2 linked regions of the Oryctolagus cuniculus genome follow. The protein of the gene in region 1 interacts with the protein of each later gene in a biochemical or structural test. Links are inferred from orthologs where the notes say so. Each region holds a gene or a part of one and is shown on either strand. Other genes may lie near its edges.

The links.
Region 2: the proteins of SMURF1 (region 1) and RHOB form a complex in vitro, tested with the Homo sapiens proteins (2 studies listed by BioGRID and IntAct, with this or other methods). The link is inferred for Oryctolagus cuniculus from reciprocal best matches to the Homo sapiens genes SMURF1 and RHOB.

Annotation. Positions count from the first base shown.
Region 1 is NC_091450.1:41,308,383-41,314,885, forward strand, and holds part of SMURF1 (E3 ubiquitin-protein ligase SMURF1), read right to left. Parts: intron 6,252-6,503; coding exon 6,174-6,251; intron 5,470-6,173; coding exon 5,323-5,469; intron 4,617-5,322; coding exon 4,418-4,616; intron 3,405-4,417; coding exon 3,301-3,404; intron 75-3,300; coding exon 1-74. UniProt on the Homo sapiens protein: E3 ubiquitin-protein ligase that acts as a negative regulator of BMP signaling pathway. Mediates ubiquitination and degradation of SMAD1 and SMAD5, 2 receptor-regulated SMADs specific for the BMP pathway.
Region 2 is NC_091433.1:182,132,672-182,139,622, forward strand, and holds RHOB (rho-related GTP-binding protein RhoB), read right to left. Parts: upstream 3,913-6,951; 5' UTR 3,545-3,912; coding exon 2,954-3,544; 3' UTR 1,542-2,953; downstream 1-1,541. UniProt on the Homo sapiens protein: Mediates apoptosis in neoplastically transformed cells after DNA damage. Not essential for development but affects cell adhesion and growth factor signaling in transformed cells. Plays a negative role in tumorigenesis as deletion causes tumor formation.

The DNA.
Region 1 (6,503 bases):
TGTTGTCCGTGGAGTACTGGAAGAGCCCGTAGTAGGGGTTCAGCATCTCGTGGCACAGCAAGTAAAGCCACTCCCTGGGGAGAGAACACAGCAGGGAGCTGGACACACGCGTCTGGGGGACCCATGGCATGCAGGAGGGGCCCAGGAAGCACTCGCCAACACCCGAGCCTCCCCTGCCACGGGTGTTCTCTGAACACTGCAAAGCCACACTCCCGGCGACGCGGTCAGCAGCACGCTAGGAGCCCACAGCAGTGCAGCACGAGACCGCGGCAGTGGTTAGCTAGGGGGTGGCGCTCTGGGCCCTCCCCATGCTTTCTCCTACTTATCTCTAGATCTTAAGTCTGCAGTGAGGGGCAAGCGTCTGGGCCAGTGGCCGAGATGCCCACACCCCCATCGGAGGCCCAATCCAGCCTCCTGGGAGGCAGCAGGGACCCAAGTCCCGGGGTCCCTGTCACTCACACTGTGTTCCAAGCCCTGGACTTCAGCCTGGCGCAGCCCTAACTGCTGCAGGCATTCCAGGATGGCGGATGGCGGATCTGAGCCCTTCTCGGTCTCCCTACCCGCCTCTCGAACAAGTCTTCCTTCCCTACAGTGAACTTCGAAACGCATTCAAGTCTGGGGAAGTACAGGAAGGACGGCTGAAGGGCAATTTCTGCTCATCCTAGTCATGTTAACTTCTTAATAAACATTTATCACTTTCATAACTTAAAAACATTAATTCTCAAAGTTTCGAAATCTGGATGGGGTACATAGGTACGAGTCATTTTCTAAATTCTTTTCATGCTTGAATCTTTTCAATATTTTAAAAGATAACCCTGCAAAATTAAAAATAAATCAAAGTGAGAAGTGCAATGACGGGGTTCAGCTGCTGTGGTCCAGCCGTGCCAAGGCCAAGTTCAAGGGACACCGGGGGCAGCTCTGCGACCAGCTCCTGTCAGACGGATCGACCGCATTCCGACAGCAGCCCTGGGGTTACTGCACCATTTCTTACTCTGTCCAACAGAATGAGACAGGACCAGCACGAATGCAGTCGCCCAAGGAGCCTGCGCGAAGGCACGCATCCCAGTGGACCCCACCCCCAATCCCCGGAGGGCGGAGACCGCGAGCCCTGCGCAGCGAGCGGCAGACACAACGGCTCAGCGCCTGTGTTTTGAGTCACCCCCTGGGTTTGGGGATTTCGACTTGAGAAGAAGAAGCTTTTGCGGAAAAAGCCAAGGCTCCACAGCTGTGTAGACAGGAAGTGAGGAGAACGAAGCACACATGCCCCGACTGAGCCGTGGGTGGGCACAGGTGCATTTCCACGTGTCCCGGACGCGGAACAGGAGAAAGAGCGGACGGCCATGACCTCAACCCCTCCAGGAAGTCAGCGTGCACCGATTCTCATGGCAGATAATCAGTGCGCACATAAACGTGCAAGATGGGCGGGGGTCCTGAGAGTTTACGTGAAATCAGCATTATGAAACATGAACGGATTTCAGAAGCTCTTGCACCAAAATAAACGTCCTTTCACCCCATTTCCCCACGCTGTTTGGACAAGGTCATCTGAACGCCTCTGCAGTTCTCTGGGGCAGGCACAACCCCAGCCAGACACCAGGAGCTTGCGGGCTGAGGCAACATGGTAAGGGCACACCGCAGGCGGCGGCACGGCCAGGACAGCACCGTGCAGACTCTGGTCACGGAGCACCTGCCACGGACGCGCAGGAGGCGTGGAGCCGTGCCCAGCCAGCCTTGCTGCTCCCAGGGGTGCCCGGGCACACCTCACACCGGCAGGAAACTGAAAGAAGTGGAGACACTGAGCCCCTGAGACACCTCCAGCTTCTACACGGTCCTAGAGCCGAACTCGGAAGCAGCTGGGTGTGGGCGGCTAGGACAGACACGATGACCGGGTGGGAAGCCGCTCACCTGAGAACACGGACACAGAAACCCACACCCAGGGCGAGGAGACCGGAGCGGTGTTAGCAAGGCTGAACCCAAGTTCCAGCTGGTCAAAGAGAGGCATGGTTTCTGGAGTCAACGAACGGCAGGGTTACTTTGCTCACTGTTGTATGCCTCAGCCAAGGTCCAGCATCAGTAAGTATTCACTGGTTAATGAATGAATGAATGAATACAATTTCCATGGGGCAAATAGAGCATAAGGGTGCTCTCGGGGCTGGCGCTGTAGCCTAGTGGATAAAGCCGCCACCTGTAGTGCTGGCATCCCATACGGGTGCCGGTTCTAGTCCCGGCTGCTCCACTTCCGATCCAGCTTTCTGCTATGGCCTGGGAAAGCAGTGGAAAGATGCCCCCAAGTCCTTGGGCCCCTGCACCCACGTAGGAGACCCAAAAGAAGCTCCTGGCTTCAGATCGGCACAGCTCCGGCTGTTGCGGTCATCTGGGGAGTGAACCAGCCGACAGAAGACCTCTCTCTGTCTCTAACTCTCTGTAACTCTCAGAAAGTAGAAGGGGGGAATAAAAGCAGAGAGACAGGAAATAAGAGAAAAGATGAGAGGAATAAAGGATTTTTTAAAAAATGAAGCCTCGCGTAAGGGAAGAAGGAAACTCGGGAACGTCCAAGTGTCCACACTGGCAAGCACGCCATAGCGCCCCGTCTCTCGGCTGAGCAAGATGAACGGGCGAGGCTGCGGCACCGAATGCCGGGCGGAGAACGAGGAGCACGGAGGTCCTCTTGGGAAAAGGGGGGTCAGGAAGGTGTCTCGGCGACAGACAGAAAACCAAGGGCGCTGGCACGCTGCCTCAGGCCGCAGAGACGCTGCCAACGCTGGCACTTCGAAACTGGGGGCCAGACAACTAAGTCAAATCCGCGCTACACCGTCTCTCGGGCCATCGGCGCCTGAGGGACCAGCACGCTTCAGGCAGGTGCTGGCCGGCGGACAGGGGCAGGACAGGACCTGGGAACTGCTGTTGGTTCTGTTCTCTGCTACTCGGTCAATCGTTTGCCTGACATATCCTGACAAAACGTCCAATCCTCACTTTACCAAATTCCTTCGACACAATCGTAATGTCCACCCCCCCCCCCGCCGCCCGCTTTGCCCCCTGGGAAATCCTCTCAGGAGCAAACACAGGCGCCTGGCACATGAACTTCGGGAGCAGGTCCATCCGTCTCAGGCTCAGACACGACAGGACAAGGCGCTGGGCTTCCAAGTTGAGTTCTAGCTCGACAGGAAGCGTGTCCTGATGCCGCCGTGCACCTGCTCTCTGGAAGTCTGACTGCAGGAAAGTGCGGAGGCCCGGGGGCGCTCCGGAAGAGGGGGCACCCCACCTGCCTGAGGCACGCTGCCAGCCGCGCAGGCCCCGCCTCACCTCGCCACGCCGCCGTAATCCAGGCCCTCCTCCCCACGGAACTTCACCATCAGCCGCTTCTTCAAGTCCTTCGGGCGCATCTTCATTATCTGGCGGTAAGACTCCTACGTGAGAGGGGACAGTCTCAGAGGCCGGCGGGCGCGGGGCTCACAGCTCTGGGTACGGGGCCCCGTCCAGGGAAGCTCTAGTGGGTCCTGTGTTCACGCGGCTTCTAGGACAGCCAGCAGCCCTGCCCCCACAGAGGTGACAGCAAGACAAAGCCGGTGTCAGGCAGCAGGTGGCAGCAGGCCTCGCGGAGACCGACGCTGCCTTCGGCACGGTCACCGAGGACTGAGGACGACCGTGGTCCCTGGAGCCGGCTTTCTCGACACAAACTGATCCCAATGCTCTTCCCCAACAATTTATGTCTCATTCAAGTCTGAATGTAGGGAGCCCGGGGCCTGCTTTCGTAGGTGACGGGAAAGACTCCCCCACTTGCCCAGTGGCACAGGGAAAGCAGGCTTCAGGGAGAGACAGCAGCCCGCCCCAGGCACGGCCAGCACCCGCCAGCCGGCGCCCCCCGGGACGTCTGCAGAGTTCAGGAAGAACGCACCTCCCCCTGATTGACGCTTAACCTGACGCAGTCCCAATGCCACCACGAGGAGGCCGAAGGGACGAGGAGAAGGGACCTGGCAGCACAGTGCCGATCGCTCAGCGCCTTGCTATCCCTGGCAGCCATCCACGTCTGCTCCACGTGCCAAACCGGGCGCCTTGTCTGGTCCACGCCCTCCCCCGACTCTGCGGGCCAGCCCTTCCGTGACCTCTGCCAGGGCCCCCACCAGGGGGGCAGGGCACGGCCCGATCTGCTCCCCTTTTTTCTGAGAGGAGAGCCCGCCTGGGGGGCCCTGAGCGCTGCACGCACGGGAGGACTGCGGGAGCACCCACCAGTCGCCGTGCCGAGCAGGGGCGCCCCGAGACCATCGCGTGCTCGGCTCTGCCTTGAGAGCACGTGCAGCCCCGCCTCTCCCCACAGGCCTTGGCCCTGCCCCCCCGGGGGTTGGGGGGGCACGCCCACCAGCCCAGGGCTTCCCGGGGCTCCGCAGCTCCACCTGACCGGCAGTCACACGCAAGCCCGTACCTCAAATATTTCTTCTCGGGAAACCTCGATGCGGCAGTGGCCGGCCTGCGGCTGCTGCAGCGACAGCTCGTGCCTGAGGACTTTGAGCTTCTGGACGAGGTCGCGTTCGTACCTCTGGGCAGGGAGCTCCTCGTCCTCCACCGAGCCTTCGCTGGGCAAGGGCAGGGGCTGGCTGGGCTCCTTCAGCCGGCACTGGTGACTGCGGAGGGGAGTGGCCAGGTCACCCACAAGCAGCAGCGCCCTGCCCGCCACAGCGCCGGGGGCGAGCCTGTCACCCACCACCTCGCTTCTCTACATGGGCCGGCACGGCTGCCGGCCACCATCAGCCTAAGGCAAGTCGCGGAGGGCACGGTCACGGGGATGCCCACTCGCTGCACCCGTCAGTTAGGACCACAGATGAACGGGGAAACCGGCCAGGGCCCGTCCTGCACAGATGAACGGGGAAACCGGCCAGGGCCCGTCCGTTAGGACCACAGATGAACGGGGAAACCGGCCAGGGCCCGTCCTGCACCCGGCAGGCCCCGCCTTGGGCATGAGTGTGGCGCAGGGCTGATGGGAAACTCTAGAGTTCATGAACGGCGGAGGGAGGTGGCACGCTCAGAGCCCATGGCCGAGCGCCGTCTACCGGCAGCCACCCCGCGTCCTGATCCCCGAGAGGCTCCGAGCCTGTGCCTGAACACCCAGACTTCCACAGGATACAGGGACGAGCACGAGCAGGTGACAGGGGGCGTCTGTCTGGTTCAGGCCTCGCCGCTCACGGGAGCTCAGCGACAGGAGCCCGTGGGAAGCTCCGTTTGGAGAACACCGACCGCGGGCCCACGGCCGTGCCCAGGCCCGCGTCACCCAGGGACGATGGGTACAACCCAGGGGCTCCGCGGGCGCGGCGGCCGCTCGGGCAGGCTTACTTCATGATGTGGTGCAGCCTCGGGTCCGTGAACTGCGTGGTGCGGTTATTGTGGTCGACGAAGTAGATCCTGCCCGAAACCGTGCTCCTGACTTCCCAGCCGGGGGGCAGCGGGCCGAGCTCATCACAGTTCACGCTGTTGAGGTCTCTATGGGGACGAAGACACAGACAGGTGCGTCCAGCTGCGGCGCCGGGAGCCACCAAGGGCCCCGGCGAGGCCCAGGGTCCGGGCCTGGGTGCCACGGACCGCGGCAACACCCAACAGACAGCGATGGCAGGGAACAGGGCCTCCCCAGGGGTCAGACTCTCAGAACGGTGGGAAAACGCCTGCATTCTCGGGTGCAGCGCCACGCCCGGGGCCGGAGGCTTCCTCGCTGAGCGCTCCTGGGGGCTGACCGCGGGGCAGCGCGCACAGCTCCGCCGGCCGCACCCGCGCCAGGCGCCCTCCTCTCGGAGTTGCCTTCCTGTCAAGCGACTGTTTTCTCCTGCCAAGCCTGGGACCGGTAATTTCACTGCGACCCCCAGGCCGAGGGGAGCGTGGCGTTACCGACCACGACGCTTTTCCAGTAGCCCCAAAGCCTGCCCGTTCCCTACAGGGGGGTCTAAAACACCTCGGTCATTCACTGCAGGTGTAATGCGTCCACGCTGATTAGAGACACTGAATCATAAACTCAACATAGACTTGCAAAATCACAGACAGGAAGCGTACTCTCAGATGGAACAAATCATGAATAGAAATCGTATTAAGTAGTGATGCTAGTCTAGGAAGAAAACAAAATAAAGGAGAGGAAAGCAAAGCAAAGCGAAAAGAAACTTAACTCCGTTACAGGGTGGGGCGGGGGTCTCTCTGACCTGGGCTCAGCTGTATGGCCTTGGAGAAGGAACTCGTATAGAAAAGCTTCATCTCCCCCAGGAATGGTCCCCAAGGGACTGAGGCGATAGGGACAGTAAAGTAGAAGAGAGAAAGGGTCACAGCGTCTGTACACTTCCTTCGCAACTCATTATTACGGAAAACTTTATGCACATTACAACAAGAAAAGCAGAGAGACCGTCACGATCCACCAGGCAATCAACTTCCACACGTGGCGTCTCCCGGCCAGCGACCCCAGTGCACCCCCCACCCCGACTCAGCCGAAGCCAATCCCAGACATCTCGTCGCTCACGAGTATTCTGAGTTTAGGA
Region 2 (6,951 bases), on another chromosome or scaffold:
GTCACACCAGATGTTTTACCTTTTTTTCCCCCCCTAATTGATTTTCCAGCCTAGAGCAACTTGGTTTTTTTGTTTTCCACTTGGGCCCTAACACAGCAAGAAGAGTATGTTCCGCAGGGTTTTTAAATGGCACGCAGTTAAAACAGGCCCCACCAGGCTGCTCTACTTCTTCCGGGTGGTTGTCTCCCCAAAATATAAAAGCAGAACTCTTTAGGTAGCAGGCAGATGGGACAGGCGGGAAACCCAGAAAGGCCCTCTGGGGGTGGGGGTGGGGGGGCAAGTCTCCAGGCTCTTGGCTGCTTGCAGAGCCGAGTGCTGGGCACTCAGCCCAGGCCTGAGCACTCCCCTACCCATCCCTGCACTCCCTGGTACCAAAGGATTTGCTGGCTGTAAAAACTTGCAAATAAACATTGTCTTTCAATGGGAAGTTTTGTTTTAAAGTAGGTTATGGGATGGAGGTGAGTGGAGCCATGGGCCGAGGAAGGAGTGGCTCCTGGAGGAGTCCAAACAATCCCCCTCTGTTGGCCCTGCACCCACCCAGTGGAGCAGGCCTGTTTCAGCCTGTGTTAAGTGGGTGAAAGGTCACCACCAACAACCAGGTTTTCTTCACTCAACAAAAGCTCTTGGAAATCGCAGGGGAGAGGGGAAACGAGCCTCAGCCTTGAAGCAAACAACTTCAAGAGGGACCTCCACTGCCTTGGCCCTGGGTGTGGGAGAGGAGAGGGTGGCAACAGAGCGCGGAGACGTGGAAAATGCCGATTCAGACAGAGCCACGCTTGGGAGGCAGGTGGGGGAGGCTGGCACCACCTTCCTCTGCGCCGGCAGGTTTGAGTCCTCCCGCCTGCAGCGGGATTTTCGTGTGGTCTCCAAGAACAAATCGGCCTGTCTGGTTCGGAGAACCACTGCAGCAAGGCTCAGGGTCTGAAATTAGAGCTCATCCTAATTGGTTCCCAAAGCGGAGCTGCTCCAACTTGAAATAACTCCCACCGCCCACCACCACCACCACATCCAGCCCTCTGTCTGCAACCGGCCCTTCTCAGAGAAGGGCAGGCTCTCATTGTGGCACCTTCCCAGGGAAGTTCCATCGGAAGAGAACCCTCCCCAGGAGAGCCCCTGGAGCTCCAGCCCCAGGCAGAGCAACCTGCCACTGTACAGGGTGGTGTGCAGACCTGGAGGATGGGAAGGAGCCCAGGCAACCAGCCCCAGAAATGTTACCTAAACTGAAAACACGCAAGTGACAGCTTCTCAAGTCTAAAAGAAGCCAAGTCCACAATAGTCACAGTGGTTTTAAGACAGAGACAAAACCAAGACCTTTGGCCTCGCCTAATCAGGCTGAAGTTTTTGCTCTGGGCCATGAGTGAGCGGCTTGTCTTCCTCTGGGGTTGTGACAGCCAACAACCTGGTCTCCCTTGATGACCCAACCCGCAGAGCCCCCCAGACCTTCGCCCTCCGCTATGACAGTCACTGCCCAGAAAGGGTCTCTCCCCTTGTCCCACGTGCACAAGGATACCTTACTACAGAGCATTAAACCACAAGAGCCATTTTATAAATGTCATCATCATAGTCTTTTAATATTTTACATAAAAAACTGTATACACAGCTTATAGAACTTTTATGTAAACATCATAAGCTCACCACTTTGTCATTTGTCAGTTTATTGGAAAAATAAAAAAACAAGACAACAGTTTAGTAGAAGTACCACTGGGCAGGAAGAGGGAGGGGAGAAACGGGCAGGTTTATTCTCTGTACAGAGAAGCAGAGAAAACTTCACATAGCTGCAGAGGCTGCCTTGCAGGGAAAACAAAAAAGTTCTCAATAGGCCCCAACACGGGTTACTGTCCCTTATCAAAACAGTGTGCATGACCTGCACAAATAAAATCTCAAAACAGTGGTGCCACTTTTCTCGAGAAAACCAAGGAAAAATTAGTAAATTCTTTTTCTTTTCCTTGTTTTCAAAATCATCATTCAAAAAAAATAAATCCAAAGTAGATGAGGTTACAGCATACAGAATGCTACTGCCTTATGCAAATGACAAGTGCATTAAGTGTCAAACAATGAAACAACTGTGCAAAGAATTCTTTCCAAAAAAAAAAAAAGTTTCAGCTTTTAAATAAATCAAAAAAACATCCGTTTCTTGGACTGAACAGTTTTCACTTGTCAGGCACAGAGTTCGCTTATGGCAACAACAAGGCCCCCAGCACACGCCCCGCCCCTCCTCCTGCTGGAGAGAGGTTCGCTGGGGGCTGGCAGCACCTGCTGCTTCTAAAAGCTGTGTCCCTTCAGCCCCAAGTCAGTTGCAAATGTCTTCCCCAGGGCTCAGAAAGATGGCCAAGTCCTGGTCATGCTTGGATGGGCGCCTGACCCAGCCCGGGGCCAGAGCTGTTCTAACGCCCTGGTCACTCCACCCACCACGACCATTAAATAACACCATCTTACCTCCGAAAATAAAATTATATCTGTATTTATAGAACACCCCCCTCCTCCTCCCCAGCCCTCCCTCCCGCAATTCCCGGGGTCTATGTTACAAACAAGGGATAGCAGGCGCTCGCGGGTTACGGGCTAACATCCGATGGGGCGCGGCCCCGGCCCCCACCCCCACCCCGGGGGGACCCGAGGCGGGGGTGGTGTGACAATGTGAGCGAGGGGGCAGTAGAACGTACACGCAGTCACACGCTCTGAGGCTCTGATCCTCAGAACAGGATGTCCAGGGGACCCTTGGCACTCAGCGGGGGCGCCCGGGCCTGTGCCACACAGCTGGACGCACGCAGACACTGGGAAGGGGGCGCCCGGTGCCCACGCGCTTCTCGGCGCGAGAGCCAGAGCCGCCCGCAGACGCCAGGCAGTCTGGTGGGGTCCTTGCAGGGGCGTGGGCCTCCCCTCCCCACGGCTGGCTGGGGGACCGGCCCGGGAGGGGGCGCCGCGCAGGCGGGGGCAGACGGGCGGGCGCGGCCTCTCATAGCACCTTGCAGCAGTTGATGCAGCCGTTCTGCGAGCCGTAGCGCTTCTGGAGCGCGGCGCGCGTGGCCGTCTCGAAGACCTCGCGCACGCCCTCCTTGGTCTTGGCGGAGCACTCGAGGTAGTCGTAGGCTTGGATGCGCACGGCCATGGCGCGGCCGTCGTCCGTGCGCACGGGCTCCTGCTTCATGCGCGCCAGCTCTGTGCGGACGTGCTCGTCGCTGCGCAGGTCCTTCTTGTTGGCCACCAGGATGATGGGCACGTTGGGGCAAAAGTGTTTCACCTCCGGCACCCACTTCTCGGGGATGTTCTCCAGCGAGTCCGGGCTGTCCACCGAGAAGCACATGAGGATGACGTCGGTGTCCGGGTAGGAGAGCGGCCGCAGGCGGTCGTAGTCCTCCTGGCCCGCTGTGTCCCACAGCGCCAGCTCCACCTGCTTGCCGTCCACCTCGATGTCGGCCACATAGTTCTCGAAGACGGTGGGCACGTACACCTCGGGGAACTCGTCCTTGCTGAACACGATCAGCAGGCACGTCTTGCCGCACGCGCCGTCGCCCACCACCACCAGCTTCTTGCGGATGGCCGCCATGAGCCGGCCGGGCCCGGGCAGCAGGAGGGGGCCCGCGAGCGCCTCGCTGCCGTCCCGCTCGCTTCGCTCACTGCTCACCTCCGGCGGCGCGCTGGGGGGCGAGGGTCGCTAGCTGCACCCAGGCCCCGCGGTGGCGCGTTCTCTCCGGGCGCTCAGGCTGCCGCGGCGGGGGCGCGGGTGCATAGGGCGCGCCGCGCTGCTCGCGGACTGCGGCCGCGGCTCACGCCCCGGGCCGGGGTCGGCGGCTTTGTGCGCCACAAGGGCTCGGGCTGCGGTCGGTCCCGCTCCCCCTCCCGGGTCCCGGGCCGCGCGTACCAGGGCGCCGACGACTCCAGCCAGACTGCGGTGGCAGATGCGGGCTGCGGCCCTAGCGCCTGCTATTTAAAGAGTCCGGCCACTTTCTTAATATAGCCGCCCAATAGGAAGCGAGCCGGCTGAGCTCATCGCTGCGGAGCTTGGCTCTGATTGGCCGCCTGCTGCAGCCCGAAGGCGGGGCCGCACGGGCTTGATTGACGGCCCTGGCCGCGGGGCTGGGAGAGGCGGCGACCGTGGAGTCTGCGCGGCCGCCGGCGCTGCGGGGCCGCGGCGGCCCCGGCTCCCCGCCTTCGTCGTGGCCCGAGGGCTGGCTGCCTAGAGCCCGCGGGGTCTGGGCCCGCGGGTTCCGAGACGGGGCGGCACTTTGGAGTGGGGGGTCGGCGCCTCCTTTTAGAGCAGAATCGCGGGGCTTTCTGGCCAACCCCCCGCGGGTGGTCGGACCTGGGGCGGGGGAGGGGCGGCTCCCGTAACGTGGTTTTGTTTGTAAGTAAACAACCACACACACACGCACACGCACGGCCACACACGCACTTTTGTTTCCAAACTGAAAGGTTTCTTCTTCGCCCTTTTGGAGCCGGCCGCTCTGTGCTCGGGCCTCCCGGGGCGCCCTTGCCCTGGGATTGAGCCCCTGGCGTGAGGCGCCCACTGCAACCTGGGTGGGCCTGGGCCGAGCCTCCCGGCCCTTGCAAGCCCCTGCCCTCCTCTTTCAGGACCCCCCAGCTCGGGTCGCCGGGCGAAGGTGAGGGAAAGGAGACCGAGTGGGCGAGCGCTGGTTCGATGAATGGGAAGGGGCAGGCCGGGGTATTTGGCCGAAACTCTGCGTGGTTCTTTCGGATCCGTTTGTTAAGGCAGAGCCGTGTCCGAACGAAGAGTGCAATAGAATCTGGCCCCCTAAACCCCACTGAGCCGGCGAACGGTGGGGCAGGGGCCCAGGGCTCGCAGGTGCGAGTGAGCGCGCGCTGGGGGTCCATCGCCCCAAACCAGCAGGGCTGCAGGCAGCTGCCCCGGGGACCCTGCGGGACGTGGCCCTCACCTCTGGTCTGGAAACCCGAAGGGAGACCTGCCCATCACGGCGAGCTCACTGCCCCATTGTCTGTCTGCCTCTGGATTGTGGTTTGGTGGGGGCGCCAGCGTCCTCCGGACCCAGCCAGCAGGTGACTGGAGGATCGACCCGCTTGTTCAGGAGCTCAGTGGGGATTTTCTGGGGGGCTCTTACCTCAGCTCCAGATCCACTCTAACAGTCACCCAGGCGAACCCACGCAGGCAGCTGAGAGGGAGCCTGTGGTTTCAGTGCCACTCACAGGTCAACCTAGTGGCTGTTACCCTCTAGGGCCCATCCTGGCCCGCATCGGTTGAACCATCAGAAGGGCTGCATGTTCCCCACACCAGCTCCACTTTTTTACAGCGCCCAAATTATTTTTGTTGTTGTTGTTAGAGAGAGGAATTTTGTCTTTTTTTTTTTTTTTTAAGATTGATTGATTTGTTTGAAAGGCAGAGTTACAGAGAGGCAGAAGCAGAGAAAGAGAAAGAGGTTTTGCATCCACTGGTTCACTCCCCAGATGGCTGCAATGGCCAGCACTGGGCTGATCCAAAGCCAGGAGCCAGGAGCTTCTTACAGGTCTCCTAGGGGGATGCAGGAGCCCCCAGGACCTGGGCTAGCTTCTACTGTGTTCCCAGGCCATAACAGAGAGCTGGATCGGAAATGGAGCAGCCAGGACTTGAACTGGCGCCCATATGGAATGCCGGCACTGCAGGTGGCAGCTTTACCCACTTACGCCCCTTGCCTTGTTTTTTAAGCCTAAGGAACCGATTGGCCAGGAAATAAATAGGTTGTTTTGATCTTTGGTATAAGACTCCAGTCTGGAAACTTTTTTTTTTTTTTAAAGTTAGGCTATTAGGAAAATCTTATCTACACAGATTTTTCTTCTTTTAGTCAAAACTTTTTATAGCTGTATTGTTAACATTGCTTTCCTTGGTCTTAATATAGCTTGGGAATCTTGGCTATGTCCTTTAACTTCAAATATTAGGAAAATATAAAACAAAGATAAAAAAAAAAAACCTCAAATACAAAGAATCAGGAAGAGGGGTTAAATTCACTGATTTCCTGATTTCCAGACATAGGAGTTGTTCCAATCTTGAGTCTCGGAATCACAATAAATTCTAAAAGTATGAAGTTGGCAAATGTGCCAAAGGAAACACAGCGGAGCATCCGTCCGCAGCACCTTCTCTTCATTCTTCTTGGTTTTTGTACAGGATCCTTAACTGGCTCTGGAGAGATGCTGCTTTCCAGACTGTTCCCCTCGCAGACCAGACTTGGCCAAACGAGTGAGGCACCCTGCAGCCTCCTCCCTCGCCCCCCATCAGCAGTTTCCACTGAAAGGCAAGGGTAACGTGTAGTTCTTCCAGGAGAACAAATCTTGTTCAAACTAACTTTAACAGATAGTCAGGTGTGACGATCACATACCCATCCCAGCAAGAGAGGGAAATTGTCTTTCAGACAGAAGATGATATTAATATATTCCCAGTACTTGTTCTAATTCACGTGGTCTTTTTCCTTTTCCTTTTCTTTTCTTTTTGGCCCAGTGTCTTCTGTAAATCAACTCCCCTCTCCTCAAAGGCTAGATTGGAGATTTGAATTTTCATTAGATTTTAGCGCCACCTGGTGGCAACCTTGGCAGCTAGTTTCTTTTAAAAAAACGGTTTTTTAAAAAAAATTTTTTAAATTGTTCTGAAATAAAAAGTAAAATAATAAACATCATTAAAAAACCTTTAGTCAAAAAGAATGCACTTTATAAACATTTTTATTTTAAAATCTTTCATTGGGTATAAAACTCTAAAAATGTTTTACAAGTAGATTATTTTGAATTTTTACATGTATATATATATTTATAGACATCGAACTTTTTCACATGCACTTTTTTTTTGACAGGCAGAGTGGACAGTGAGAGAGAGAGACAGAGAGAAAGGTCTTCCTTTTTCTGTTGGTTCACCCCCCAGTGGCCGCTTCAGCCAGCACATTGCAGTCGGTGTGCTGCACTGATCCAAAGCCAGGAGCCAGGTGCTTCTCCTGGTCTCCCATGCGGGTTCAGGGC